Tamandua tetradactyla: one gene and its partners. The protein of the gene in region 1 interacts with the protein of each later gene in a pairwise test. Links are inferred from orthologs where the notes say so. Each region holds a gene or a part of one and is shown on either strand. Other genes may lie near its edges. The genes, in order: NFE2L2, WAC, MAFF and MAFK.

Evidence for each region.
Region 2: the proteins of NFE2L2 (region 1) and WAC interact in a two-hybrid assay, tested with the Homo sapiens proteins (2 studies listed by BioGRID and IntAct). The two-hybrid records come from large-scale screens. The link is inferred for Tamandua tetradactyla from reciprocal best matches to the Homo sapiens genes NFE2L2 and WAC.
Region 3: the proteins of NFE2L2 (region 1) and MAFF interact in binary tests that used the Homo sapiens proteins (3 or more experiments, as listed by UniProt). The link is inferred for Tamandua tetradactyla from reciprocal best matches to the Homo sapiens genes NFE2L2 and MAFF.
Region 4: the proteins of NFE2L2 (region 1) and MAFK interact in binary tests that used the Homo sapiens proteins (3 or more experiments, as listed by UniProt). The link is inferred for Tamandua tetradactyla from reciprocal best matches to the Homo sapiens genes NFE2L2 and MAFK.

Annotation. Positions count from the first base shown.
Region 1 is NC_135329.1:149,520,356-149,527,356, reverse strand, and holds the start of NFE2L2 (nuclear factor erythroid 2-related factor 2), read left to right. Parts: upstream 1-3,987; 5' UTR 3,988-4,151; coding exon 4,152-4,196; intron 4,197-4,612; exon of another isoform or gene 4,613-4,802; intron 4,803-5,153; exon of another isoform or gene 5,154-5,337; intron 5,338-5,360; exon of another isoform or gene 5,361-6,552; intron 6,553-7,001.
Region 2 is NC_135327.1:222,266,003-222,273,024, forward strand, and holds the start of WAC (WW domain-containing adapter protein with coiled-coil), read right to left. Parts: upstream 2,676-7,022; 5' UTR 2,645-2,675; coding exon of another isoform or gene 2,634-2,644; 5' UTR 2,632-2,633; coding exon 2,591-2,631; intron 2,237-2,590; coding exon 2,199-2,236; intron 986-2,198; coding exon 773-985; intron 1-772. Other genes in the region: uncharacterized protein LOC143682789, read left to right, coding at 2,634-2,644, 2,676-3,477.
Region 3 is NC_135333.1:30,623,352-30,630,926, forward strand, and holds the start of MAFF (transcription factor MafF), read left to right. Parts: upstream 1-4,566; 5' UTR 4,567-4,832; intron 4,833-4,911; exon of another isoform or gene 4,912-4,976; intron 4,977-5,101; exon of another isoform or gene 5,102-6,477; intron 6,478-7,575. UniProt on the Homo sapiens protein: Since they lack a putative transactivation domain, the small Mafs behave as transcriptional repressors when they dimerize among themselves.
Region 4 is NC_135349.1:1,081,746-1,088,746, reverse strand, and holds the start of MAFK (transcription factor MafK), read right to left. Parts: upstream 3,014-7,001; 5' UTR 2,888-3,013; coding exon 2,794-2,887; intron 2,165-2,793; coding exon 2,085-2,164; intron 1,500-2,084; coding exon 1,065-1,499; 3' UTR 1-1,064. UniProt on the Homo sapiens protein: Since they lack a putative transactivation domain, the small Mafs behave as transcriptional repressors when they dimerize among themselves.

The DNA of each region.
Region 1 (7,001 bases):
ATGCAAGTATATTTGTATAGGTATAATGCACATATAATTCAAAAGCATTCTGTCAAACTTCCGGTTTTACCCCCTTACTTGCTGCATTGCTATTCCTGAAGGGCAGTATCTATTAATAGGAAACTATATGAGTTAAAATCGGCTTTATAGATATACACCTCTTTGCACAAGTAGTTTGTATAATGAGGTATACATATCAAGGAACCAAGGTTATGGGTGTGTTTGCAAATTAATACACCAATGATTTTGAATACTGCTCTACTGGAGTTCAGTTTATTCACTGGGCAGGGACTTCTCAGGTTCAAATTCCCTAATCAGATATTTAGTTGAGTATCTTACATAACTCATATAAATGAAATCATGTCAGGGCCAGAGTCTCTGTATGCATTTATGCCTCCATCTACATAAGTGTCGGAGTATCTGTGTTTCTTAACTGTTTTTTTTTTTTTTGTATGCTATATGGCGGGGTCACATTTAATTATTTTCCCATGTGAGTATCCGTTATTGCAGCACCATTTGCTAGATTTTTGTTTGTTTGTTTTTTGGGAAGTGCATGGACCTGGAATCTGTCTAACCTGGGTCTCCCACAAGGCAGGCGACAATTCTACCACTGAACTACCCTTGCACCCCCTTAACTGTATTTTTTTTCCCTTAATTGTATTTTGATAAGAAAAATATTTTATCATCTATTTAATGGTATGGAAATTGGTGCATGATGTGATCAGGTGATTTAGTTTGTATGGAGAAACAAGTATATATTACTGGAAAAATAACTTCTTTATTCCCAAAGAGGTCAATTAGCTTCGGAGGGATGAGACCCTATTAAATTGCAACTACCATCCCTATATGTGTTCCCAGCGATGGTTAACAAACAAAAAGCAGCCAATAGAACCCTGCCTTTGATATTCAATACATGCTGATTGGCTTATCTATTGCTATGAAACAAACCACCCTAAAATTCAGTGGCTAAAAACAAGTTAATTATATTCTTTCACAATTCTTTGGGTTGACTGGTCTGTCTAGGCAGTTTTCTACGGTCTTGCTTGGAGTCTTTCATGCAATGGTAGATAAATAGCAAGTGAGGGTGGAGTCCTCTGGGGGCTTGACTTCATTGACAAATTTGGTGCCTTGGTTAATATAGACAGATTCTCTCCACTTGAAGTCCCATTTTCCCTATGGTTTCTCTCGCCATTAAGGAAGTCAGACTTCTTACATGATGCCTGACTTCCAAGAGTGTAAATTGAAAGCTACCAAGCCTTCCTAAGTCTTAAACCTGGACCTGGCAAAGTGTCACTTCTGGCCTCCCTTCATCAGCTAAAGCAAGTCAGAGGGCCAGCCTTGATTTGATGTGGGAGAGAACATACAACAATATCAAAATCAGGAGGGGTGGTTCATTGGAGGCCATCTTTGGAAACTAGCGACCCCATATACTTCAACTGTAAGGTGGACAAAGTAGAATTTCAACTATAATTCCAGGAGTTTCTGAATATTTTCTGGCTCAAAGAGGAAGTAAAATTGAGAGGAAGCAAGAAGAAGGAAGAGGCCTCAAGGTGATGGAGGATTTTTAAACAGTAGGTATGTTCTAGGGCCTTGCAACTTGGCAGACTACAGTATGGAGAAGAAGGTGAACAAATGGTCAATGCATGACCTTTATCCTAAATTTGTGAACTCAGAAGGCTTACTTGATAATGCTCATCTTTATGAGAACTCTAGCATAAGACATTACAAGTCTGACACATTACAAGACTATATAGGGGGCTTTCTTTCCAAAGACAGGAAAGAATTCAGACATCAGTGGAAATCTAGGGTCAGTAGATTGTAAAGCCAATTGGGAGAAAAAGCAAAATAGTAGGCTAGAAGAGGATGGTAGTAAAAAGGGCCCCCATGGCATCAGGAAGATGAGAAAAAACAGCACCTCCTCTTTCCTGCTTTCCTGGAACCTCCCGATAAGCAGTATGTGCACCTCCATAGCAGAATTTGCAAGTGTAGAGGGCAAAGCTAGAGCCAAGGCTCTCTCATGGAGACAATTCTTATCTTAGTGTTTCTAAAACTGGAAACCTCTTTGACATGAGTCTTCTGAGACTGGGATTCCCTTTTCTTGTGCTGAACCACCATTCAGTGCCAAATGGCTTTTCCTAATGTCTTTATTTCTTAAACACGTTCAGACTCTCACCATGTTGTTCTCCTCCCTTTGAAAATATGTACTTTGCAGGTGCCTGAAATAATATACCCATAGTAAATTGCAGTTTTGTGTAAGTGAAGATTATTTCATTCAGTCTAAACTCAATGGAACTCTTGTTGCTTAACAAAGAAATACCAAATACTTTATAAACTCCTTGAGGGCAGCAACCATATCATATATGATTTGTGTATCTCCTATCTCCTAGACTCTTTGTCCACCTTCTTATGTAGTAGTTTTAAAAAGTAACTCAAATTGTTAACAATATATTCTTGTCTTTTTTCTTTGATGCAGAAATGTCATTTCATTATGATGTCTCTGCATAGTTCATGTCAGGTTCTTTGTAAATAATTTCTCCCAAGCTTGTTTTCAGTGCGCAGATCCTTTTGCAGGCTTTTCACATAACAGCTGAATGGGTTTATGGCTGAAGAAGCTTGCTTCAATTACAAGTAATTAATTTAGGCTTCACCTTTCTCAAGGATTATTTGAAGATATAATTTACAGGTAAGTCCGGGGCGTGTCAAATTATGCAACCAAGATAAAATAAATTCTACAGTTTATTGGAAAGAGAGGAGGCAGATTCTTGAATGACATAGTAAAACCACTGCCAACACTATCTACTTCACTTCCTTTCTAATAATCCCAAGAAGCTAGAAACTGAAAACCAGTTTAAAAATTAGAAACATCAGGGAAAAAACGCCATTTCTCTTTTGTTTTATATAAGATTTCACAATATTCCTATTTTCAAATACTTAATGTTATGTAATGATTAATTTTTAAATAACTTTTTTAATGTAGAAAGTAATACATATTCATTGTAGGTTTAAAGCATAAGGTAATAAAAGAGAAAGATAAAATCCGTTCACGATCCCACATTTATTATTTTGGTGAACATCCTTAATTTTTTTCCTAGGCATGTTTTTTAAAAACGGGCCCATACTCTACTAACCGTTTTGTAACTTCGTCTTTTTTTTTTTTAACTATATCGTGAATAAATTGAAAATAAAGTCAAGAATTTTAGCATGTTGTAGCGTTACACCATTCCGTGGCGTGGTTTGTGCACCTTGGTAGGAAAAGAAAGCTCGTGGGGTTCCCATTTTTGCCCAGCTCTCGGCGGGTAATATTGACCACTCTGTGACCAAAGGGGACTTCTTCCTTTGACCTTGGCAATCTGACCCTATCGAGAGTGCAAACGTATGGGAGTAAGTAGAGGGCGTTCAGGGTGACTGCAAGCCCGAACTCCCGGTGCGGTCCACACCTCCCCTGGGCAGGACCTGCTTGCCTCCGCCCCGGCGGAAACAGAGGGCGAGAGGGCAGTTCGCGGTGCGCACCACCTGGGTTTTAGCTCTCCTCCCCTCCCCCCGCCCCCCGGGCTGGCGCCACTCTCAGGCGGCGGGGTGTGATAAAGCAGGGCAAGGTTCTGTAACTTCAAATCAGGGAGGCGCAGATCCGATACCAGCGCCCTTGCCCGGTCTTCGGGCGTGTTTGTTACAACTGTTTGAAAGCGCCCAACCCCAGCGACCTTCGGCAAACAACTCTTAATCTCCCGGGTGGAGACCACTGGTCTTATTTGAGAGGAAGACAAACTGAGCGCGGGGACAGAGGAGCTAAAGGAAGCTTGCGCTCACCACCCCGCCAGCCCGCGACCGCCCACAGGGACCCGGGCCCGCGGCCCTTCCGGCGCCGGGACCCTGAGCTCTTGCGTCAGCCGGGCGGGGGTGGGGAATTTTCGCAGGCTTCGCTTGCACCGCAAGCCGGGGAAGGAAGGGCCCAGGCTCTTGCCCCGCCTTCGGGAGGGCGGGAGGCGGAGCGGGGCAAGAGCAACGCCGGCGACTCAGGCGGTGTAGCCGAGCGGCGAGCGCCGGGCAGCCCGGAGGAGTCGCCGCCGTCGCCACTGCCTCCGTGTCCGCGCCTCGGCAGTCGGGTTCAGGGCAGTCGTCGGGGAGCCCCAGCCCACGGTCCCCAGCTCAGCATGATGGACTTGGAGCTGCCGCCGCCGGGACTACCGTCCCAGCAGGTGCTGTCCCTGCCCTCGGGGCTCCGCGGAGGTGCAGGGACCGGGCAGGGGCGGGCGGGGTTCGCGGCCCTAGAGGGACAGCCGCCAGCGTTTCTCCTCCCGTCTGTGGCCGGAGCAGGGACTGCAGCGGCCAAGAACTGGAGCCTGGAGGAGGGTAGCGGGGGCCTAAGGGGGCGCGAGGGAGTGGAGATGAGGTCGGGTGTCCTGACAGACGACGAGTCCTCAGCACCCGAGGGAGCCTGGAGCGGAGGGGTCTGGGGGGGGGGGCGTAACTTGCCGCGTGTCCGCTCCCTAGCGCTGGGACGCGGGAGCCTCCGCCGGTCCCCCGAGTTTGAGCGGCCCAGAGGCTGCAGAACAGGAGGGGGTGGACACCCGCGGTCTGAGCCGGCGCAGCCCGGCCCTTCCGCTGCTGCGCGTCTCCCCCGCCTCGGAGCCGGCAAAAATGTGCCTAGTCACGGGGCCACTCTCGGGGGAGCTGAAGTCTTTGCTAGGCCGGACTCAGAGGCCCTCCTCGGCCACCGCCTCAGGTCTCAAGACCTTCGCGGGTGCGAGCTGTCGTGCAGCGCGCCCACCCCGTTGGGCCGTCTATGGGTACTTCTTTGCAAAGTAATCAGTCACTCCGTCAACTCAGTCTTTGGCCGCCTTGAGCTAGAAAGCTCAGCCTTCAGGGGAGGGAGGAGGTCATGAAGTGTCCATCGCTCTCTAACGCCCCGACGTGCCGCAAGACCCAGCCCCACGCGCATCCTCCGACCGCGGCAAAGGTTTGGGATCCGGAATTCAGGACCCACCCGGTCGGCCCCTCGCTGCCCCGCGGAAAGTGCGGGCGAGGGGCGGACTGTGAAGTCCGAGTTCGCGGCGCCCAAGACTTTTGGTTCCGGGCGCTGTGCCTCCCGGTGGCGCACGCCGCGTGCGTGGCTGCGGCCTGCGTGACAGGGGCCGGTTGGCTGTCACGGAGGCCCTTGGTTGGCCCTTTCCTGCTTTATAGCGTGCAAACCTCGCCGCGGCCAAGGGACAAGTTGGAGCTGTTGATCTGTTGCGCAATTGTTATTTTCCCCAGGGCGGCTTTGTCTTTGGATTTAGGATTTCTGAATTGCAATTCCAAAATGTGTAAGGGAGGATTATCTGTTCTGTGCTGTAAAGGGTAAGAGTTGAGAGTGTAGATTAGAATTTTTGTTGCTTTTAGGGTCATTTTGTTGGCGTTCAGCTATTATTCTCCCCTTGGGTGCCTTATATATGTTTTCTTTTCTGTTTGAGAATTTGCCTCATTTCTTAGCATGTTGATTCTTTTGCAAGGAGGGTGGGAAACTTCTGTTTTCATAATGGTTTGCTAACAAGTTCTGTAAATTGTTATAAAAGTGAAAACAAATTTCCTTTCATACTTTGTAGGAACTTTTTAAAGTAGTAGATATTTGTATATTAGAATTTAAGAAAAAATTTTGGTTGATGGCAATTTGTAACTTGATAGATAGTGATAAATTTGTTAATGCTCTTGAATATAAAGTTTTAGTTTAATCCTGAAACTCTGATGTAAGCTTTTGAGCTATTGACGATGTATTCATTGTGCTGTTGTTTTCTTTAAAGTCTTGGACTTTCCCTCATTAGTGACTGGGATGGTATTCTTCTAGTTCCCGATAGTATGAAGAAGTAAATTGTACTTTCCTATTTAGCTTCTGTTCAAGAGTAATCTGTAGGAATGCTTTTTTGACCAATGCACGTATGAGCCAATGGACTTCAGTTTTCCTGTATTCAGGAATTGTAGTCTAGAGCACTCTATTTCCCACACGTGGGGAAGCAACGTGTAGGAGGATAAATGCACAACTCACTCAAGTCTTTCTGCATTAAAATAACTTGGGCCATTTGAAGTATTTATTTCTTTCTTGCTAACTTGGGATCTTATAAAAAATGCTGGGAAAAAAGTTTCTTTTTCCAGGCAGATTTGAAAGCCCAATGTTTTATTATTTTTTTAATATTTGTTTTTATTCAAGATGACTACTCAGAAGATGATGTGAGAAAAGGAACCCTCTTTTTTTTTCTGGGAATTTCCTCTCTCTGGCTTAACACATTTAAAGGGGGCTTTTGTGTAAATAATATTTCCTCTTTAAATTTTCCTTGAACCTGGGTTAACATTTTTCAGCATAAACTCTTGGGTGCAGAAAGAATTTGGCACTAAGATGATAATAACTGATATGAGTTATTGGGCACTTCCAATGAGCTAGACTGTGTGCTAATTGCTTCGCATGCATAATTTCACAGTCACCCCATACGAAATACTATTATCTTCTTTTTGCAGGTGAGAAAGGAGGCAGAGAGAGGCTAAAAGTTCTGCTTTAGGTGACCCAGCCGTTGAGTCGTGGAGGTAGGACTGAATCTGAGGCAGTCTGACTCCAGTGGCTCTTAAACACTTTAGGACTAGATCAAAACTAGTAAAACTTTAAACAGGAGGAAGTCTCGGGCTTTATAAAGTGGTAAGTTGAGAAAAACTGGGGAAAGAGGGTCAGGAATTTGAAAGATGAATGTAGACACCTTTTCAGGTTACCAAGAAATTTGATAACTGTTTGGGAGGAAGGAGGTAGACCTTGTGATATAAAATAAGAGTAAATACCAGCCTGTCAATGTAATTACCGCACGTGATCCTTTTAAGAAAGACAGAGGCCTAGGTGGTTTTAATTTAGAGAGGCAGAACCATTTGCTAACATAATAATTTTAAAACTTCCTGGGATTTTAACAGTGTCCTTGTTTCTGTCTCCCAATTCCCAGAGATAACTTTCCTTTTGTTAAGTTAAATCTCGTAGTTACGGAAGTTTT
Region 2 (7,022 bases), on another chromosome or scaffold:
TATTTATCTCCACCATTTCATCTGTTAAACAGTATGAGTGGGGAAAAGAAAGATTTCTTAATTACTTTTGTAAAACCTGGATTTTTCCTCAAGGCATGCTTTAGACATGAAACCTGGTATTTTGGTAAACTTTGGGCAAATTAAGCCTGAAAATAGTTACCAAGAATTGCTTTCATTTACTCATTCTCAGCCTCCCACTGCAAAGTGCTTGAGATAACTGAAAGGCAGCAGAAAGCGAAAAGGAAGCTCACTTTTTAAAAAGCTGAGTATATGAATGAACAGAAAATAAAAGTTAACAAGTTCCTGGAGAACATGGAAAGCATTTTAAACGTTCACAACAAAAATTTAAATGGGATTTTCAAACTCTCAGAAATCTCAGTAAACCTTTGAACTGTCTTGAAAACTTACTGAATTTCCGAATTCATAATTTATCATGTATAATTATCAAACAGATTTTAACCCTTTAAAAAGTAAAAGTTTCTTTCCGGGAAAAATGTTCTGTATTTCTCCCATCATTTAATAAAACATTTGGTAGATTATATTCATAAATATATTCTTATCAGTGTTCTAAATTTTACACATTCAGGTCAGCATCCTATTTTTACACAGGGACTGTTTATGAATCAAATAACATGACAGACATAAAATCCCTTGATGACAAAATTACATGGTAACATCCTCAAGCTTGAAATACTAATGGTGCCAATTATTTTGCATAGCACTACGTTAAATAATAAATATATGTGAAAGTTTCAACAGGAAAACTACTCACCACCATCCCTCTCTCTAACTCTGTGAGTATGCACGTTTTTGGCCTTACTGTGACCTGTGCTGTCACTGTATTTGTTTTCAGGACTATCAGATCTCCGCAACATTTTATTTGGTGGTGAAGGATCTGCGGCGTCTCGCATCTTTTCATGTCTGTGATCACCACTACTGGGGTGACTCTTCGATGAATACTTAAGTGCCTGTAAAACATCACCCCCCCAAAAAGAAAGAGAAAGAATTGAAACTTCAAACTCTCTAAATTGATTAAACTCTAAAACTTGGTGTACTGAGCTTTATGAGTTTATGTAACAAAATTAAAATTCCCATTTTGAATTCTGCCCTTAAGTTAGTGAGGCAAGTCCCAAATGCTGACAAGTTATTATAAGGCTCCTGATATAAACCATAATATCAAATGAAAAAAAGAAAAAGAAAAAAATTCACTCCATTTTGTAAATACAAGAAACCAAACACCTTGGCACATACATTCCTTAATAAATTTTTCTGGGAGTTAATGTTTGAAATCCTTTTTTGCAAACTTAATCCAAAGAAAACTAGAAACTCAGTAATACTGTAATTAACTTCTGCTCTACAACTGCGTATCTTCATATAAAAGGCTCCTGATATAAACCATAATATCAAATAAAAAAAAAGAAAAAAATTCACTCCATTTTGTAAATACAAGTGTTTTTAACTTGAGCTTTAACAAGTCTTGATATCCAGTAACAGAACTGTTTCTCCAAGTGATTAGACTTAGAAACCACTTACACAACTTCTAGTGTCATCTGATAGTTGTCAACCATTTACCAGATGTCCCCCCCACTCCGGAAACCTCAGGCACACCTAACATAAATTTTTAAAACTTTACCAGTAACAACTGCAGTAACAAAAAAGAATTTACATACCATGAACCACATATTAGAGTGAATTATACAAGCATCCAAGGATCTTAATTTTTACAGTAACAAAAACTATCTTTCACATGTAAGACAATTACGTGCACTCAAAAGAAGTCAAATGCGGAGAAATAGTTCACAGCAGAATTCTGAGTTGAGTATCAACTGGCTCTCTCGTCCCAGGCCCTTGATCGAATTCTATTCCTTCTCATCAACTTCTAGTTCCCCAATACAACAGATGAACATGCCTCACAGCTTACAGCATCGATTCCTTCACACCCGAAGCATCAAGTCGGGTCTTCCTGGCTGCTAATGTTTTCTAATAAAAGTGAACTTTCTCCAGTCACCTGTCAAAATAAGTCACTAGGCCTCGTTGGAGAGCGCTCCCGGAACCAAACACAACATTTTATGAGGGCCCCGCGGTGCTAGTTTCGGATTTGCAGCACTGAAAGGCCTGTAGCGACTTCTGAAGCCTGCGCTCGAGTAGCAGTCCCTCCCCCTCCCCCTCCAACCCCTCCACCCCGGCCTCGGCTGGTACCTGGAAAGGCTGCGAGTCCCCCCTCCGGTCGTGACAGCTGAAAAACAGGAAGAGAGGCGGCGACATGAGACATTGAGGGGGGAGGACGGGAAAACGCGGGCCCCGGCCGCCCCTCCCCGCGGGCGACCTACCAGGCGGGCCCAGCGGGCAGCCCCGCACACTCGCACGCTCCCGCCCGCCCCGAGGAGGCGACGCGAGCTGGCCGCAGCCCTCCAGGCAGCTCCCGCACACGCGCCCGGCCCCCGCTCCCGCCGCCGCGCCTCCTCCAGCCCGAGCCGGAACAGGGTTAACAACAAAAATGGCGGCTCGGCCAGCTCCCGATAAGGAGGAACAGCCCCCCCGCGCCGCCGCCGCCCCCCGCCGCCCGGCCCGAAACGAAAAGACAATTTACCCATCACTGAGTCTCTGCTGTTTCCTCGCATACATTACCATCAATGCCCGGCCTGTGAGTGTGTGGCGGGGAGGGGGGACAGCAGCCGCGAGAGGCGGGCGGGCGGCGGGGCGCCGGCACCAGGGCCCGGCGCGCCCTCGGCGAGTCTCAGCACCTCCCCGTTACTGGAGCCGGCGCTCCCGGGCCATCTCCCTCCGCCACCACGCTCACTCTCGGCCCGGCCGGCGGCGCCAACTACACGGCGGCAGCGGCGAAACGGGGGGAGGGGGGCACCCAGACGCGTCCGGCTCAGCCCCGCGGAGAGCGAGTGCCTGCTCCGCCTTCCCCTCCTCCTGCTCCGCCGCCTCCTCTCCTCCTCCCCCCGCCGCCGCCGCCGCCGCCTGGTCCCTCTCCGCCTCCTCCTCCTCCTCCTCCTCCTCCTCCTCCCGCCGCCACCGCCGCTGGTGCCGCCGCTGCCGCTCCACCAACTACATCCGGGCAACTCGGACGAGGCCACCTTCGGCAAGCATCGGCAGTTTCCGCCTCGCTCCTCCTCTCCCGCCCTCTCCTCCCGCCCCTCCTCGCGCGGCTCCGAATACCGCCTTCGGCAAACCTCGGCTCACTTCGGTCTTCCTCTTCCTGCCGGGCCTGGCTCGCCTGCTCGGACCCGACGGGCTCCTTCCGTTTGCTGTTCCTTTCGTTCGCGCGGACGTCGGTGCCAGCGTCCCTGCTCGGGGCTGATCTTGCTGAGGGACTTGCTAGAGGCCGTTTGTAGGGGCTCCGGGATGTGCAGTCAGCGAGCCGCCTTAGAGAGGAGGGCGGCGGGGCGCGGCGGAAGCCAACGCAGACTGAGGGAGGCCGTTGCGGCGCGCCTGCGCCCCGCGGCGGGCGCGGGGAATGGCGGGTGACCTTGGGCGAGCCCTCGGGCCGCCAGCCTCTTCCCTCCGGGTTCGGGGTGTGGGGTGGTCGAAGACCCCTCGGTGAGGCGAGTGGAGGGCGGTTACCAGCAGCTTTCTTTGTTTGCAGCCCTGGGAAGCGGCTCTTAGGGAAGCGAGGCCTCTATAGAAACGAGGCCTGGGCGCCTGGCTCACGCCGGACGCGGAGCGCAAGACCCGCGCCGGGCCTGGGGCTTTTACTACCACGCTCGTCGGCATTTGAGAAGTAAGTCACACACCCAGAAGCATAAAGGAAAGAAAGCTTTCTAAGTGAGAACTGGCAAAAGTGAAAGAGTTTATGGGTATTGAACAGATTGTGAGAAGGCTGTGTGTCTGCGCGGCTGTACGGTGGGGATTCCTGGATCGAGGAGGGAGAACCACTTTGGGCAGTTAATTAAGAAATTGGATTAAACTGAGATTCGGGGAAGGGCTGTTTGGAAAAAGCGTTGAGCCACGTCATTTTAAAAGATATTTTCCATCTCGGGCCTGGGAAATTGGCTGTGCCCTCCCCTCACTCTCTCCTTTCTTTGTTTCCCATTTTACTCTTTTCTAATGTCTCTTCCTCGATAAGTTCTTTGGCGAATTAAAATGCATTTGTAAATTCCGTGCTAATTAAAAATGTAACAGATTTTTGTGTGTCATTATAGGCATAATAGCAACATTGGTAAGTGGGGAGCGGGGAGTGTCGAACAGATACGCCAAAACAACAAAATGTACTTGAGGGCGGTGCCATTTAGGTGATTTTTTTTTCCTGTTAACTTCTTGTTAGGCGATCATGCAGCATTGATTTAACATGAAGGATTGTAATAAACATAAAGTAAAAATACAACCATTATTTATAGTATATAGGAAAACAAAGCAAACTGGGAAACAAGAGACATTCCTCAAAAAAAAACATATCAAAAACTAACTGAATTGGTTGCTAACAGCTTAAATTATCGTTGGGCCTAATGAGATGGATGATGGAGAAAATGACCCTGAACTCTCAACTGATTGAAAAAAATAATTATATAGCCTTATTAAATCCATCTACCAAATGTTGAAGTTGTTGCTGTTTAAGAACTGGAGAAAGTCTACTTAATGCTCACATAAACTGAGTAATTAAGACAAAAGCTGCCCGTGACTGAAATAGCTACCAGTCCTCGATTAAAAAAAAAACAAAATCAGTTCAATAGTAAAGTCTTTTGTACACTTTTGAAACAAATACATCGAGGGCAGGGGACATCAGATTAGAATACAAACGTGATTTATTTTATGATAGTCAAATGTCTTTTGCTGATAATGCTATATGAACAAGAGCACTGGTCTGAGCTATGGGGAAAACGTGTTCCTCACTGTTACGCCCATTTTTTTAAAAGCTCATCCCATTGCTCAACTTAGAGTCCATTATCTTTTCTTATGAATCCTTCCTTGCAGATATTCCCTACTCCTTTCACCCCTCTTCCTCTACCTTACGTGTCTATACCACAGTCCTAGTTAATTACTACATATCTAGGAGAGCAGTTGAACTGGACAAAAACACACAGCTAAACTGACTCTGAAGTAAATCTCTTCATGCTCCTCAGCCTTCAGGCTACATTTCCCTAATCCATTCACTTTATTCTTCTTTCTAACTGTTTCACATCTAAGACTGCCAGTGTCATTCCTCAATGGTGTCACTGGTAGCTAACTAATTATTTTGCATTTTTCTGAGAACAGAAGGAATCAAAGCAATAAAAACTTCCACCTGCTTTAACCATCGTATCTATCAGCCTTACTCCATTTGAATCCATATGTAGTACTGCACTGTCACCCTCAAAAATGATAGATAAACTAAGTTTCTATCTAAAACCAAACTTCCGCTTTGTATCGACTTCCATTTCATTCTTTATCAATTTTTTTCTCAAATGGATCACTTCTATCAACTTAAAACATGCTGTCGTACTTACCATCCTCAAACAAAAGCTCAGCCTGTATCTTTTTCCAGATACTGTGCCATTTCTCTGCTCTCCTTTACAAAGAAACTTCATTTCTACTTCCAATATTACATTGTTCTGTATCCACAACAGTCAGACTTCATTCTTACATGCCATTTACTCAAGATAATCAATACCTTCCATGTTCTCAAATCCAATTTTCATTTTTCAGCCTTCATCTCACTTAGCAGTGATTGACAGAGCTGATAGATTAACTCCCTCCTTCCTGAAACTCCATACTTAGCTGCCAGGGTACTACTATTCTAATTTCTTTTCTTTCCTACTGGCTGTTCCTTAGAGTCCTTGTCTAACCCTCCCCTAGGGTTAAACTTCCACAATATGATCTGCCTCTCTTCCCTGTACTCTCTCCCTAGGCAGTCCCATCATCTGTAACTGGATGGGACCCATGTTTGAGTCTCTAGCCCAGATCTTTTAAATACCTACCTGTCTATTCTAGTTGATTGCCCAGTGGGCATCTCCACTTCATATCTGCAGAACCACACTCTTTAATTCTTCCCCAAAACAAGTTCTGCTCAAGTTTTTCCAATCTCAAGACCTGTCAGATCCATTCTTCCAGTTGAGGCTAAAATATTTTGTCATCCTTGATTCTTTCGTACTTCACATAGACTCCATTAGCAAAGCCTGACAGCATCACCTCCAGAATATATCCAGAATCTGATCTCTTTTCACAAGCCACCATCGTTTTTTACCTGAACCTATAGCAGTGGTCTCTTAAATGAGCTCGTCCTTCTTCCCTTGCTTCTGTTTTCTCCCAGGGCAGTCAGAGTGGGCTCGTTAAGTCACGTATCATTTCTGCCTTAAAACCCACCAATTGTTTCTCATCTCACTCAGAATAAAGGCCAGAGTTTTTTGCAATTACCTGCAAGGCCCTGTGTATATTGCTTCCACTGGCATTACCTCCAGTAACTTGCTTATTCTGCCTCTGTCAACTCTGTCCTTCTTGTTACTCCATACCAAACATGCCTCTGCCTCAGGATTTCTACAGTACTGCCTCTTTGCCTGTTATACTCCTCCCTTTTGTACCTGCTTGGCTCACTCCGTGTCTCTCTTCTAATCTCACCTTATCAGAGGTCTTTCCTGGTAACTATGTAAATGGCATTCCATCACCATCTCCCAAACCCTGCTGTATTTTTCTAGCAGCATTTACTGTCTAATTTGTTACATATTTTGCATACTGGTTTTCTCCCTTCCACTAGAATGAAAGCTTCATGTGTCGCCAGAGAAAGGCAAAGGGTTTAGGTTGTAGCTTCCAATCTTGGCTGTGCCTAGTGTCTATTATCTGAGGAGACTTAAAATTATATACTGTTTGGGAGATACAGAATTTACCTCTATTGCCAATTAATGATACAAAAAATGATGCCTACAGGATCTGTTACTACATAATTCACATTATTATCCCTGCCGAGAGGAATATAGCTTATATTCTAGATGTGTGATCGAGATATGCTTCCCTCCTATCATAAGCCAAATACGAGTTCATTCAATTAAGGAGGAAAAATAGGACAACTGCAACAAATAACTATTTAGGAAAGGACAGGAGAA
Region 3 (7,575 bases), on another chromosome or scaffold:
AACTTGATTAGGTTATCTCCATGGAGACGTGACTCACCCAATTGTGGGTTCTAACTTTTTCTCTTCTTTTTTTCAAATTTTTATTTTACTTTTTAGGGTATTAACTTTTGAATAGAGGGAGATGTGACTCCACCCATTTCACATGGGTCTTGATTAGTTTACTGGAATCCTTAAAAAGAAGGAGGGAGAGAGTCCCTTCTTAGAACAACGGGAGAGCCACGAGGCAGAGTCACCAGCCAGCGACCGCTGGAGCTGAAGAAGGAGAATGCCCCTGGGGGCAGCTTCATGAAGCAAGAGGCCCGGAGAGGAAGCTAGAAGAAGTCACCGTGTTCACCATCTGCCTTTCCAGTTCAGAGCGAAACCCTGAACTTCAGTGGTCTTCTTGAGTGAAGGTAACCACTTGTTGGTGCCTTAATTTGGGCATTTTTATAGATTTGCTTTAATTGGGACAATTTCTCAGTTTTAGTACTGTAAACTAGCAACTTATTAAATTTCCCTTTCTCAAAAGCCATTCTGTTTCTGGTGTATTGCTTGCAGCAGCTAGCAAACCAGAACACACCCCAAATAGGATGCGGTGTCGGAAGGTGCTGACAGGGGTCCCTTTGACATCACTCCTGCCCAGATCCAGAAGGATCCATGGGAAATGTAAGACCCGACCAGGCCCAGCCCGATGAGGGAGGACCCAAGAGTCCCTGGGACAGGAGCCCATGGGGGCCTGGAAATCGAATGTTAGTGCAGGAAGGGTCTTAGAGAACATCCAACCGGGAAATCTTCCGGCCAGGCCTGGCTGTCTCCCTTCTGTGTCAGTGCAGCTTCTGGCTGCTTTACAGAGTGGGACACACTGCAAAGCCGACCTTCATTTAAAGAAAGGTTACTGTAGCTTGAGAGTGAAAACCACTGACCTAATCCCAAGCTCTCACTCTGCAGGTGGGGAGACTGAGGCTGAGCAAGAGGGATGCCCCACCCTGGCGTTAGCCAGGCTGTGAGTTCGTACCAGCACAGCCTGCCTCTCAGCTCCAGCCCTGCAGCAGGACTGAGCACCTCCCCTGGGCCAGACCCCCACTGTGAGCCAGGGGTCCGCAGGCACGTAGCGGGTGCTCTCTGGGGTTTTAGACCTCCAGGCAGGGGAATAGGGGACGAGCCGGCCCAGTTAGACCTCTGCTGCTCCCACAAACTGGCAGCAGGACCTGTCCCTACGGGCGCGAGGTGGGGGTCTCTCAGCAGGGTGGGGCTGGGCCATCACTGACTTTGTGGCACTTACATGGGGAAGAAGGAGGTTTCCCAAAGGGAGTGTTCTAGGGGACTCCAGAGGACTCACCTCTAACTCAATATTTATTGATCTTTGATTGTGTACCAGACACTTGCACAACTCATGCAGCAGGTGCTATTTATAACCCCAGTTTAGAGGAGGAGACTGAGGCAGGGCTAGGATTTGAACACACAGGCTGACTTGACAGCCCCTACATTAACAAAAATTTTTAATTATGATATGCTTTCAGATTTAAGGAAAAATTGCAAGAATAGTAAAGAATTATTGTATGCTTTTCAATCAAATTCCTCAAATGTTATTATATCACATTTGCTCTATAATCCACCCATCTACATCTCTACAAATCTTTTTTTCTGAACCATTTGAGAGTCAATTACAGACATGATGTCCCTTTACCTCTAAAAACTTCAGTGTGTGTTTCTTAAAATCAAGGACATTCTCTTACTTAACCACAGGGCAATTATCAAAATCAGGAAATTGAGCTTGAAAGAATACCATTCTCTAATTCGCAGACTTGATTCAGATTTCACTAGTTGTTCTAAAACTGTCCTTTATAGCAAAAGAAAATCCTCCTGGAGGTTATTCTTATGCATTATATAGATATCCCTTTTTAGTTTATGGTGTATCGGAGTGGCTGGAGGGAAGTACCTGAAACTGTTGGGCTGTGTTCCAGTAGCCCTGATTCTTGAAGACAGTTGCATAATGATATAGCTTTTGTGATATGACTGTGTGATTGTGAGAACCTTGTGTCTAATGCTCCTTTTATCTAGGGTATGGACAGATACGTAAAAAATATGTATAAAAAATAAACAAATAATAAGGGGGCAAAGGTTAAAATGAATTGGGTAGATGGAAATACTAGTGGTAATGAGAGGCAGGGGTAAGGGGTATGGTATGTATGAGTTTTGTTTTTCTTTTTATTTCTCTTTCTGGAGTGATACAAATGTTCTAAAAAATGATCATGGTGATGAATACACAATTATGCGGTGATATTGTGAGCCATTGATTATACGTCATGTATAGAAATGTGTGTTAAGATTTATCAATAGGAATATTTTTTTAAAAAAAAGGAAGAAAATTCTCAATCATACACAGCATCCAGTTGCCACGTCTCTTTAGACTCCTTCAATCTGGTACAGTTCCTCCGTGTGTCTTTCTGTTTCATGACCTTGGTTTCTTTAACAGTACAGTACAGTTATTTCATAGAAACCATTTGCATTTGTCCGATGCATCGTCATGATCAGATTCTCTGTGTGCATTGTTGGCAGAGAGATCCACGACATGATATGATGCTTTTCAATGCATCATTTCAGGGGGCAAATGTGTCCATTTGACTCCTACCTGACAGGAACTTTGGTCACTCGATGAACTGGCATCTGGCAGGTTTCTCCCCTGCAGAGTTACTATTTTCCCCCTTTTTAATTAATTGTCTTATGGAGAAATACTCTGAAACTATGTAAATCTCTTGTTTCTCATCAAGTTTTCAAATGCAAATTTTAGTATCCATTGATGATTTTTCTGGAATCCATTATTACTAACATCCGTTTTCTAATTCCATCATTCTTTCTGCTCTAAGGAGGCACTTTCCCTGCTTGCTTGCTTATCAGTATGGACCATGGGTTATAATTTATTATTTCCACTATTTATTTTGATGCTCAGATTGTCCCAAATTTGGCTGGTGGGAGCCCCTACGAGCTGGAGAGACATTGCAACCCTTGACCAGAAAACAAACCACGTCCATGGGAAGCAGTGTCTGGATGGTGAATTCTGAGGTGCTGACCCCCGACAGTTAGGCTGAGGACGGGAGCAAAGCATCTCGGCGTCACGCTGTCTGGGGGGCTTCAGGCTCCCTGGGGTCTCACTCACTAGCTGAGCACTTACCACATGCCAGGCATGGCTTCCACTCTCGAGGAGCTCAGAGACGATGGGGAAGAGAAGACAGGCGATCACAATTGTGCACTTTCTAAAACTGAGAATTTTCCTATCCCTGTCCTTAGAGATGCAGATGTACAAAGGGGGCAACTGTTTGGGAAGATTGTTTTGAGTGCTTAAACAAAGCTTTCTCAACATTCGGCCATTAGGGAAGCAAGTGAACCATTTTCCCCAAGGCCTTTGAACTACGTTCTTGCCAGGCCCCACCCAGCTGGGGCATAGCTCCAAATGTCTGGATCAGGAATCAGTCAGACCTGGATTCAAATTCCAGGTCTTGTACTTCCCAACTGGGTGACTTTGGAAAACAATCACTTTAACTCTCACAGCCTCCCCACTAATTTATTCCTTCAATATACATTTAATGAGGACCTACTATGTGCCAAGCACTGTTCTAGGCACTGGACATGCAGGAGTGAATAAGACAGACAAGATCCATGCCCTCATGAAATATGCTGGCGTGGGAAGACAGATAATAAATGGTAAGCAAATACATAAACAAGTAATATCCTATGGAGATTATAAGGTTATATAAAACAAATTTTGGAGGTGGGGCTTCTTTAGCCAGGGCAGTGAAGAAAAACCTCTTGGAGGAGTTGACATCTAAGCTTATGACAAAGAGCCCAGCAAATGAACAGAAGAGGAAACAGCAAGTGCACAGGGCCTGTGACAGGAAGGAGCTGAGCATGTTTGGGGGACAGAGAGAAGGGCAGTGTGACTTAAGTTCAGTGGGTGAGGCTGGACAACCGCATGGTCAGAGCCCTGTGGGTCCAGGGGAGAAGAGTTTATGTACTTGGTGCAAAGGGAAGCCAGGAAGGGTGTTAAGCCAGGGGTGGAGAGTTGACATACTTGGTGCAAAGGGAAGCCACAAAGGGTGTTAAGCCAGAGAGTGTGAAACACAAGATTCTTAGGTTTTTTGGCTTGAACAACTAGTGGGAGAGATTGGGGGTGGAGGTGGGAGCTGGGCCGTGTTGGGGTGTAGCCCCTGCCTGACAGCCACGTGGAGGCGCAGAGTGGACAATCCGATACGATTCTGAAGCTCAGAGTAACTGCTTGCTCTGGAAATATAAATCTGGGTCATGGGCCCATAGACGGCATTTAAAACCACGGGACTGGATGAGATCACCAAGGCGGAGAGTGTAGGTCGAAAGGAGAAGAGGCCCCAGCCCGTCGGCTGTAAAATGAGGCAAATGACAGCTCCACCCACGCGGCCGCGGGGTGTCACGTGACCGTAGGCAGCGCGCGCTGGAAAAGAGGCTGGGACTCCCAGGAGGCGGGGGCGCAGGGGGCGGGGCGGCCGCTCCGGGACCGCGAGGGGTGGGGAGTGGGGGGAGTAGGGGGGGGGGGGGTTGGCCCGGACGGTGACGTCACCGCATGACTGGGTTTTTATGAATGAAAGGAATCCTGTGCGTGAGTAATTCCGGGAAGCTCGCCTTACAACTTTGCGCGGCCCCGGCCCCCCGCGCCGCCCACCCGACAACAAAACTCGGCGCCACGCTCCCGGGCTCCGGGCTCCAAGCAACCCGCGGTCGAGACCGGAGGGGAGAAGGGCCAGGGCGCGGGCCGGACAGCAGCGGGACAGCAGCAGGATCCGCGCTGCCGGGGACGCCAGGCGCAGCGGGCGGCGAGTCCGGTGAGCGACGCGGGCCCGAGGCGGGCACCGGCGCGCGGGAGCCCGAGCCGGAAGGGTCTCCGCGCCCCAGGACCGCGACTGGGGCGGGGCGCCCGGGGCTCGCTCGTCAGCGGCCCCTGAGTCCGCCTCCCCGACGGCCGGCAGGTGGGGGCAGGGCAGAGGTCCGGGGTGGCGGTGGGGGCGCTTTCCTCGGCGCGGGGCCGGGATGCCGCGAAGCCCGGGAGGAAGGGGCCGCGCAGCTGGGCGAGCGTCAGTGTCCGCCCGGGCGGGGGCGGGGGCAGCGCGCGTACGTACGTGACTCCCGGGGAACAGCCGCTGGACCCGGGCCCGCGGGAGTGCGTGCGCGGTTTGTTTACGTCCAGGGCGGCGTGCGTGTGTGTTCTCTGGCGAGCGTCCTGGGTCCCTGCCTGGTTTGTGCGCGCGTGCGGGTGTACCTTGGTGCGTGTGTGTGTGTGTGCGCGCGCGCGCGCGCGCGTGCCATCGCTGTGTACCTCGGAGGGTGTGCCCCGCGGATGTACGTCGGTGTTTGTGTGTGTGTGTGTGTGTGTGTGTGTACCTCAGAGGGTGTGTCCTGGAGTGTCCAAATGAGTAAACACGGAATAGAGACTGGGCGAAGGAAGCGGCCCGATCTTTGGTGACACAGGTCGGGACTCTAGCTCTAGCTGCCCCCTTCTCAAAAGCCATTGGGTCCTGGCCCCTGCTTTCCCTGGACTTTCCCTGCCCGGCTACTGTGTGACTGTGGTGTTTGTTACATGTGAGCTGGTGATTGCAGCCACAGGGTGGGGCGAGGTATCAGAGACCCCACCCGGCTCTGCTGGGGTAGTGAAAGGAGGCCATCTCCCATCCTAGCCACTGGTAGATCTGGCAACAATGTGGACTAGAGCTGGGTCCTGGTCCCCAGGTTTTCTAGCTCCCTTGGTCTATCCATCTGTCAGTCTCAGGTGAAACAGGGAGGCCCAGAAAACACATGCAATACTGGGGATTAGGTAGTGGGGAGTCCCAGGCTTTCCCTCTGTGGAAGTTTCTGGCACACTCTTGGGTGGCACATCTGAGTGGGAACACTGTACCTGCTGGGGCTGGAGGAGTGAGATCAGAGGATGGCTCCAAGCTAGTTCCCACCTTCCCAAAGGTTTCAAGTCACAAGTAGTTCTAGTGGAACCGAGCAGACCGAATGACAGCTAGGTCCTAAGAGCTAGTTGCTAGTTAGTGGACTCAAAGCAGCCCACCCACCCTGGACCCAGGAAGGGGCAACAAAAAGTGGGATGAGCAGTCTGGGTGCATGAAGGGTTAATGGGTGAGGCTTGGGTTCCAGGATCTAGCCACCCCCATCCCCATCAGCTCAGCAGAAAACACCTGTCATGCCATTAGCCTGAGGCCAGGGGGCTAGAGATTTGTTGTGTGTTTGTGTGTGTGTGTGTGTGTGTGTGTGTGTGTGTGTGTACCAGCGCTGTGCACCTTAGAGGGTGTGTCCTGGAGTGTCCAAATGTTCTCCTCCACCCCAGGGCCACCAAATCATGGAGGGCAGGAGTTCCGAGCTCTCTGCAGTCAAGTACTGGGTCATTTTTCCTCTTTGAATCTTCAAATCCTGGCAAGCTCTGCTCCCACACCTGGAAGCCTCCACATCCCCATCTGTAGCAGGAACTAGGTACAGCCAGGCTGGGAGAATGGGGGAGAATGGGGAATTTCAGGCAACCTCTACACAGCCTATTTCCTAGGGGGACTGAGAGAGCAGAGCCCACAGCCCCATGCTGGGAGTTGAGAGGTGTCCAGGGGTATGTGAAGTCCATGTAAGAGGGGTTGTGGCCAGGAGCAGAAGAACCAGGCAGGCCCAAGCTCAAAGTCAGACGGGAGGAGTGGGGATCAGCAAAGAGGGGAAGTGGCCAATTGACTCAGTCACAGATGGAAAATCAGCACTGAAAGTTTTAACCTCCCATTAAATCATTCCTGGGCCTCCCCTAGGACCCTGGAGCCTTGTGGGCTCCTTCAGCCCCTGTGCTCCCTTAGTCTGGACATTTAGTGGAGCATCACCAGGGAGCCTCTGTCGTGGGTCAGATGCTGGGGTAATAAGATATGAGTAAGAGACCCAGAAACCACCCCCTGGGAGCTAACTGCCAAGTAAAGGAGACAAAATTAAACAAAGAGCCACCTAACTAACTGCTAAACCACAGAGGAAGTCACTGTGTTTTGAAAGTATATGTTAGGACTCTGCCTTAGCCAGAGCAATCAAGAAAGGCTTCCCCAGGGAGGTGACCAGGGAGCTGAGAGATCCAACCGAGAGATAAGTCTGCAAAGACCTTAAGGGCGGGGGCTATGTCTTGTCCTTGGGCCTCCAGGGCTGTCACACTATAAGTGTTTAGTGGATATCTGTTCATGGAATTGCTCCATGACACTTAGAGAAAAAGGCCTGGGATCCCTGGGAAAGCACGAAGCGCAAGGGTGGCCTATAGGATTCTTGTAGCTGCATCTCCCTCCCCAAAAACTAGCAGACTCTTCAGAGCTCAGGTGACACCCTCCCTCGCTCACACACTGGCACACGCACATACTCCCAATTTGTCCCTTTGGAAAACATGCATTCTAAATATCTTAGCATTTACTGTCTGCCCATTCATTTGTAATTAGCACAAGGACCCTGAGAGAGAGAAAGAACGTACATGCAGGAGGCCTGAGGGGAGGCCAGTACAGCAGGGTTTTGAAATGGGCCAAACACAGTAGGATTTGTAGGTTTCTGCCTACAAATCTCTCT
Region 4 (7,001 bases), on another chromosome or scaffold:
CTCCAGGTGCTGAGGCCTTGCCTGGCCCCCACTGCAGCCACCCTCCCCTCCAGGCCCCACTGAGGGCAGTGGGTCCCAGGTACACCCTGCCTTTGGGTCAATGGGAGAGGAGGCTCCGGCCCCTCCATGGCTGGGGTCTGAGGGCCAGGCACACCTGCACACCTTCCTGGACACACACACCCCACAATGCTCCCAAGAGACCTGGTGCGACAGGCTGTGCCCCAGGCCCACTGCGCACTGGCAGTGCTGCCATGGGGAAACTCACGTCCATAGAGCACGCCCGAGTGTGCACACACATTCACACACATGCGCCCCTGCACTCACGTGCACACACTCATGCATATGTACCCTTGCATGTTTGCACTCCCATATGCATGCAGTCCCACACACACGCATTCGTTACGTTCCTGCGCTCACACTTGTACACACACTTATGCACCGCTACACTCATGTGCACACGCTCATGCACACAATACTCTTGCATGCACGTGTCTACACATGCACACTCCCGTCCACACACACGGGCACACTCCTCCCTGTGCCCCGAGGAACCCACACCGGCTGTGTGGGTGCCGGGAGACCCCGGCTGAACCAGTGGCTGCGCAGGTTAGTGTCCAGCAGGAACACCCCAGGGCAAAGCTGTGGGTCTCTCTGCTCACAGCCCCCCGAGGCTTGGGCCCTGAGCTCAAGAGGCAGCAAAGGGGCAGAGTCATGGCAGGGGGTACAGAGGGGCCGGGGGTGTCAATGGGTTCCATAGGAGCGGGGAGGCCGGATCCTGCCCTGGGACCCCGGCAGGCTCTGCAGGGGGCGGGGATGCGACCGTGTCCTCACACAGGGACCTCAGACCCCCCATCGCTCCTGAGCACCACGGGGGCAGGACCCCGCCCCTGGGGAAGTGGACAGAGAGCTGAGGAAAGCGAGGCGTGCGTGTGTGCGTGTGCGTGTGCACGAGGGACGGGGCGCCGCGGCCGAATTCGCCAGAGCTGGCTCTTCCATTCTGTGCCCCCCGCCACGCCCAGCCCGTGGGGGCTGCTCCCGGGGCCCCCCGCCACCCCGCGCCCGCACTAGGACGCGGCCGAGAAGGGCACCGAGGGCGCGGAGAGCTCGGCGGACTTGACGATGGTGATGACGCTGGTGGCGGCGACCTTGGAGGGTGCGCCCGGGCTGCGGGCCACGGTCCTGGCGAAGGTCTGCAGGGCCTCGTACTTAGCGCGCAGCGCGTCCAGCTCCAGCCGCATGCTGCTGTTCTCGCGGGCCAGCTTCTCCACCTCCTGCTGCAGCTCCACGCGCTGCCGCTCCAGCTCCTCCCTCTGCGTCACCCGCTTGATGCGGCAGCTGGCCGCGTAGCCGCGGTTCTTGAGCGTGCGCCGGCGCTGCTTCAGGCGCGCCACCTCCTCCTTGGACAGGCCGCGCAGGTGCTGGTTGAGCTCGCGCACCGACATGGACACCAGCTCATCGTCGCTGAGCGCCGGGGCGTTCTCGCCCGCCTCCTTCTTGACCTGCGGGCGGGGCAGCGTGGGGTGGGGGTGGGCAGCAGGACGGCGTGACCCCCTCCCCCAGCACAGGGCCCGGGCTTCCCCACTGGGGGTGCTGGCCCCGTGCTGGTGCGCGCGTGAGCCCTGTGTGTGGCCAGTCTGCGCCGTCCCCTCTGGGGCAAGTGGCCCGAGGCCTGTGGGTCTGTCCCGCCCAGCCCCTGGCCAGTGGACAGCCAGGGGGCCCGGGGAAGGGAGGGCCTCAGGGGAATCAGGAAGGCCCTGCGGCCACTTGGTCGTCTCCCCCACCACCATGCAGGCCAGGAGAGGGGTCTGCACAGCCTCTGGGGCTCAAGGCACCCACCGGTCCCACCTCTGACCACAGGAGCATGTCCAGAGCCGGCCACAGGGCAGTTGACTGCCCGGGCACCCTCCACGTATCAGGGCTGGGGTGTCACTAGTCCCCCTGGCTCCACTGGCCTCTTCCCACACCCCCCGGCCCAGAACACCCCAAGCCCGTGTCTGGGGGCTGTGCTTGCTGGCATCCTGCTGGCAGGTGCCAGGGCTGAGCCCCGCCGGGTGAGCAGGGTCCCTGGTGGCCACCCACCTCACCTTCAATGCCTTGTTGGCTTTGGGATTAGTCGTCATAACCTGGGCACAGTCACCGGGACAGGAGGGCTCGGAAAGCACAGCTGAAACACACAGACAGAGGCACATAAGGATGGGCCCGGCCAGGCCCCCCAAGGACTCCCAAGGCCGAGGCGCTGGCTCCTCCAGGGTCCAGGAGGAAACCCCTCGGCACCATCGCGTCCAGCCCCCGCTGCGGCCACTGCTGCCTCCTGCTCCAATGCCACCTCCTGGCCACGGCAGCGCCACCACCTTGGGGGGCACAGGGCGCCGGTCCAGAGGCAGAATGGCCAGCGGCCGCCTCCAGGGACAGCCACACCCACCTGAGGCCCTGCCCGGCCCCCACAGCACCCCTTCCTGGGGAGAGTCCCTGGTCACCTGCTGCCCGAGAGGCCCCCTGGGGAGACGGCGGCAGCCTCAAGCCTCGGCCCAGGGAGGGGGGTAGAGTACCTGCCCCCAGCCCGGCGTGGCCCTCCGGGCAGGTCCCCTATGGCGGCAACAGAGAGCTCTGCAGCTGTGACATCAGCGCCTCCTCGGCAGCCCCGCGGCCTGGCCTGAGGAGCGAGGGCAGCCGGGCTCCCACTGACCGCCGCAGCCTCCCGAGCAGGGCGGTGGCATTGGCCGGGCGCAGGCTGACCGGCTGTCTGGCGGGACCATCCCCGCCAGCTGTCTGCTCCGTGTCACACATCCTCACCGCTCAGAGCCCACCCAGGCAGCCCAGGCATGAGTCCCCTCTGATAGTTGCTATGGTGACCCTGGGAGAGCGGCCAGCCCCCCGTGGTCGTCATGGAAACCGAGAAGCCCAGAAGCAGCGACAGCTCCAGGTCACGTCTGTGCAGAGGCCGGTGGGGGCCAGACCCGCCCTAGGAAGAGGCTGAGGGCTGAGGTTCAGGGATGCCGCTGTCCCCGCCCGCCCCCCCCACCACCAGTCCGAGGCGGGGCTGCACGAGAGTGCACACCAGGAGCTGCGGGGGGGGGCAGGAGCAGGGCCCGGCGGGGGCCCCCATTGCGGAGTGAGCCAGCGGGGCCTCCTGCCGGGAGCCCCACCCCCTTTGCTCCCAGAACCCGCACGTGTGGGGGGCTCAGCGCATGGGGAGGAGATGGCGCAAGAGCCGCTGGCGGCGCCCCCTGGGGATGCCCGTCGGGCGACCGCAGGCAGCCGGCCCGCTCCCGCGGTGAGGCGCCTGCACGCCGGCGCCAGGGGGGCTTTCCCACGTTGAGGGGGCGGCCATCCCCAGATCCCAGCCTGCGTGCCCGGCATAGCTGCGCAGTGAGTCAGCGGCTGTTTACGGAGCGGGCCGTGTTCCCGCAGAGCCGCCTGCCTGGCCCGGGGGCCACTGCCTGGCCTGGCACAGCGCCTCGGAGCGGGGGTCCAGCGCAGGAGGGCTTCTCTGCTCTCCCTGGAGGGCCGGCCCTGGGGCTGGGGGCGCACGCCGAGGGCCAACCTGCCACCCAGCCCCCAGGAGCACGCTACGTCAGGGACAGAGCAGGGAGGCCCGTGCCACATCCCACTGTGGGAGCTTCCTGCCAGAGACACAGTGACCTATGAGGTCATGCAGACGCACACAGGATGTGACTTCCTGCGGCACCATACACCCTGCCCCCCACACCGGCCGGCCAAGTCTCTGCCCAAGGAGGTCGGTGCATCAGTTGGAACACCCCTGCCAGGTCTTCGCCTCGGCTGCACCCCACAGTCCCCACCTCGTCCACGTGCCACCTGGGATCCTCCAGGAGGTGCCGGAAGGGAGGAGCTGTGTGCCCGGTCCCTGCGGGCCAGGGAGGGGAGCCCCCGTGAGTGCCCGCTGGGCCCTGGGGACTGAGCAGCGCCCTGGGCTGTGAAAGGAGCAGACAACAGGGAGACAGGAAGGGCAGGGGTGGGGGACAGGAAGGGTAGGGGGGCAGATGGAGGGTGTGCTACGCCCAGTGCCGTGGGGTGAGGCAGGAGCCGAGGCTGGGCCAGGTGGTGGGGGGTCCGCGCTCAGCGGCGCCTCATAAAGGGCCCAAGTCTCCTCTTCTGGAAATGGTGGATGGACATAAAGGCCCCAGGATCCTCTCCAGGGCACCCTGCACGAACCTCGGGTTCCTGCCCCGGGCTCAGGGGCCCAGAGAACCACAGGCTCCATGTGGCCAGGGACGTCCAGCCCACAACTCTGCTCGGGAAACGTGACCCCACTTCCTGGAGATCCCGGTGTTGCTCTGGGCCGCTCTGGCAGTCAGCAGAAGAGCTCGGACGCACCGGGCCTCGGGTTAGCAGACGGACCGCGGGGTGGGGGCTCGGAGAGCCCTGCACTGCACAGGAGGTGCAGACCCGGGCCGGGCCCTGCCTTGTGCCGAGGCCCCCAGGGAGGTGCCAGCCCGGAGTCGGCTGAAACAGGCATGCAAGAAAACGACAGCCTGCCTGGAAGAGGTGCAGAGAAGGGTTCTGTGTCTCTAAAACAACCGATTTAAAAACAGCAACGACGGATGCCCTGAAATGGACCTCTGCAGACAAAAAAGTCCCAGAGGACTGCACGGTCAGAGGGCACACGAGGAGGGAACATTCTCAAGATCCTCAGGCCACGTGGCGCTGGAGCTGCGGCCAGGGACAGTGCCAGGGTGGGGGGACCCAGGACCAGGCTCCACCGTCACCTGTACTCAGCACCCAGGTGACAAGCAGACTGGACGATGACCCCACAGGCCCCAGGCCCCCCCGGACTCCCGAGTCTCAGAAGAATCGCCAGAGGGGCAGTGCAGAGGAAGCTGCCACTGAGAAAGCCGGCGCGTCAGCACTCGGACGCTGTCCTGCCCTTCAGGTGACTGACCGATGTAGGGGAAGAGGCTGCGTTCTGAACCCAGAGCCAGACGCTGCATCCCGGGGAGTGTCCACTCCAGGCTCGACAGGAAAAGCCGTTTCCTCTAGAGAAAAGGGGACGCAGGGCGGCACAGCTTCAAGTGGATCAGGGCGCAGGGCCTGAACAGACCCCAAACTCACACTGGGGCCCTGAGCCCCCCAAGCAGATCCTCAACTCATGCCAGGACCTGGGGCCCCCCGAACAGACCCCAGACTCACACCAGGGCCCAGGGCTGCCTGCTCCACGCCATGCCCCTTCCAGGAAGCCCCCTGGGACCCTCCGGGGTTGTTTCCCACCTCCAGCCCCCAGCTGGCTCCCAGTGCTCTGACCGGCTTGTCCGGGGAGGGGTCCGGTTCTGGACTTGCCACCATGCCCTGCTTCTCACCGCTGAGATTAGTTGTTTCTTTAAGACACGAGCAGGTGGCTGACCCTAGCAGGGACCCCACCCACTATCTAGGAAAAGGGGGCATCTGCCCAGCTGCCGAGGCTCTCATCCTCACCAGATGAAACGGAGACCTAGACCCTGAGGCCAGAGGCCAGAGGCCAGAGGCCAGACTGCCGCCGCTGCCAAATCACATGTGGGTGGCGACAAACGGGCTGCTTCTGCTCGCCGTCTCCCCATCCAGCCCTTCCAGCCCACCTCATAAAAACAGGGGGCTCGCCACTCCTTTCCTGTCCTCCATGGGCCGCAGATGATGCCAGGCCAGGGACAGGAGGGGCAGGAGGGAGGGTTTGCTGACCAACAGGCTCAGGCTCAAACCCCAGGCAGCAGCATCTGTACAGCCCGATTCCCTCCAACAGGTGCAGCTACACACAACCGGAAACTTCCGTGGGCGCCTGCCTGGCGCTCCAGGGATTGGACGCCTCCCACAAGCCACCCAGCTATACACCTGTCCTGGCCAGAGCAGGGGACACACGCAGGGTGCCCAGTGGACAACCAGTGAACCAAGACACAGGGACAAACTACAGCCCGTCCCGCCCCACAGGTGAGCCTGGACCACCCTGCCCAGCACCCACGCCACCCTGGATGCCCGCCATCGACCCATGCCTGAGAGCTGGCCTGGCCAGCTGCCCTCCTGCAAGGCAGCCTGTCTGCTCGCCTGGAGGACGTCTGGTCACCTTGCCGGGCCATCCCAGGGAGGCCGCATCACTCTGTCCGCTCTCAGGGGTGATTCAGGCAGCGGCCCTAGCTGACGGCAGGCTGGACACTGCACCTCTCTGGCCCAGCCCCTTCTCCTGCTGTCCTGGCTCCTGGGAGACCCCAGTTCCATGGTTTCAACCTTCTCCTGCTCTCCACATCCAGCCCCCACAAATCCTGCAGGAAACCTGCCCACCTCTGCCCCATGACTGCCAGGTTCTGCAGATGCAACCAGCCCACAGACCTCGTCCTCTGCCCCCCGCCAGCCCCTGCCCCATGGCCCCAAGCTCAGGACACCAGGAGCCCTGCAGCCCACTGCCCCCATTGCCACCACCGCACTCCCCCCCTCATCTACCCTACAGGCCCTGCCTCTCCCACCTGGACCACAGTGCCACAGGAGTCCCTGGCTTGGAGCCCCCCAGCACTCCACTCCCCATGTCAGGCTCACTGCCATGGACTTACACTGGGCCCTCTCCCGCTTCTGAACTGCTGTTCCCGCTCCTAGCCTGCCCAGAATGCCCTTCTCCTGCCCCACCACCCAACCTACCCCTGGTTTCTTCCCAGAAGCCCTCCCCCACCCAACACAGAGACCCCTGCCCTGCACGCATAGGTAGTGCCACCCCCCACCCCGACTGATATGCAGCTACCCGCAGCAGGGTGGCCAGCCAGCCTGTGGGCGCCTGGAGGGCAGGGACCATCTCACCCATCCCACACACTCCTAGTGAGGTGCCTGGGCACTGCTGAGGCCGGGTGGACAGCTCAGCACTGCCCTGCAGGGCAGGGGACGCTCAGGCGAGGGGAGCCTGGGAAAATAGGCATGGCCTCCACACCTGTGCCTTGCTTCCTGAGCTCCCAGGGGATGCAGGGCCTCTGGCCACAGACTCCACGGCTGCGGCCAGGTGGAGAAACCCTCTTGCTTCAGACTCCTCGTCT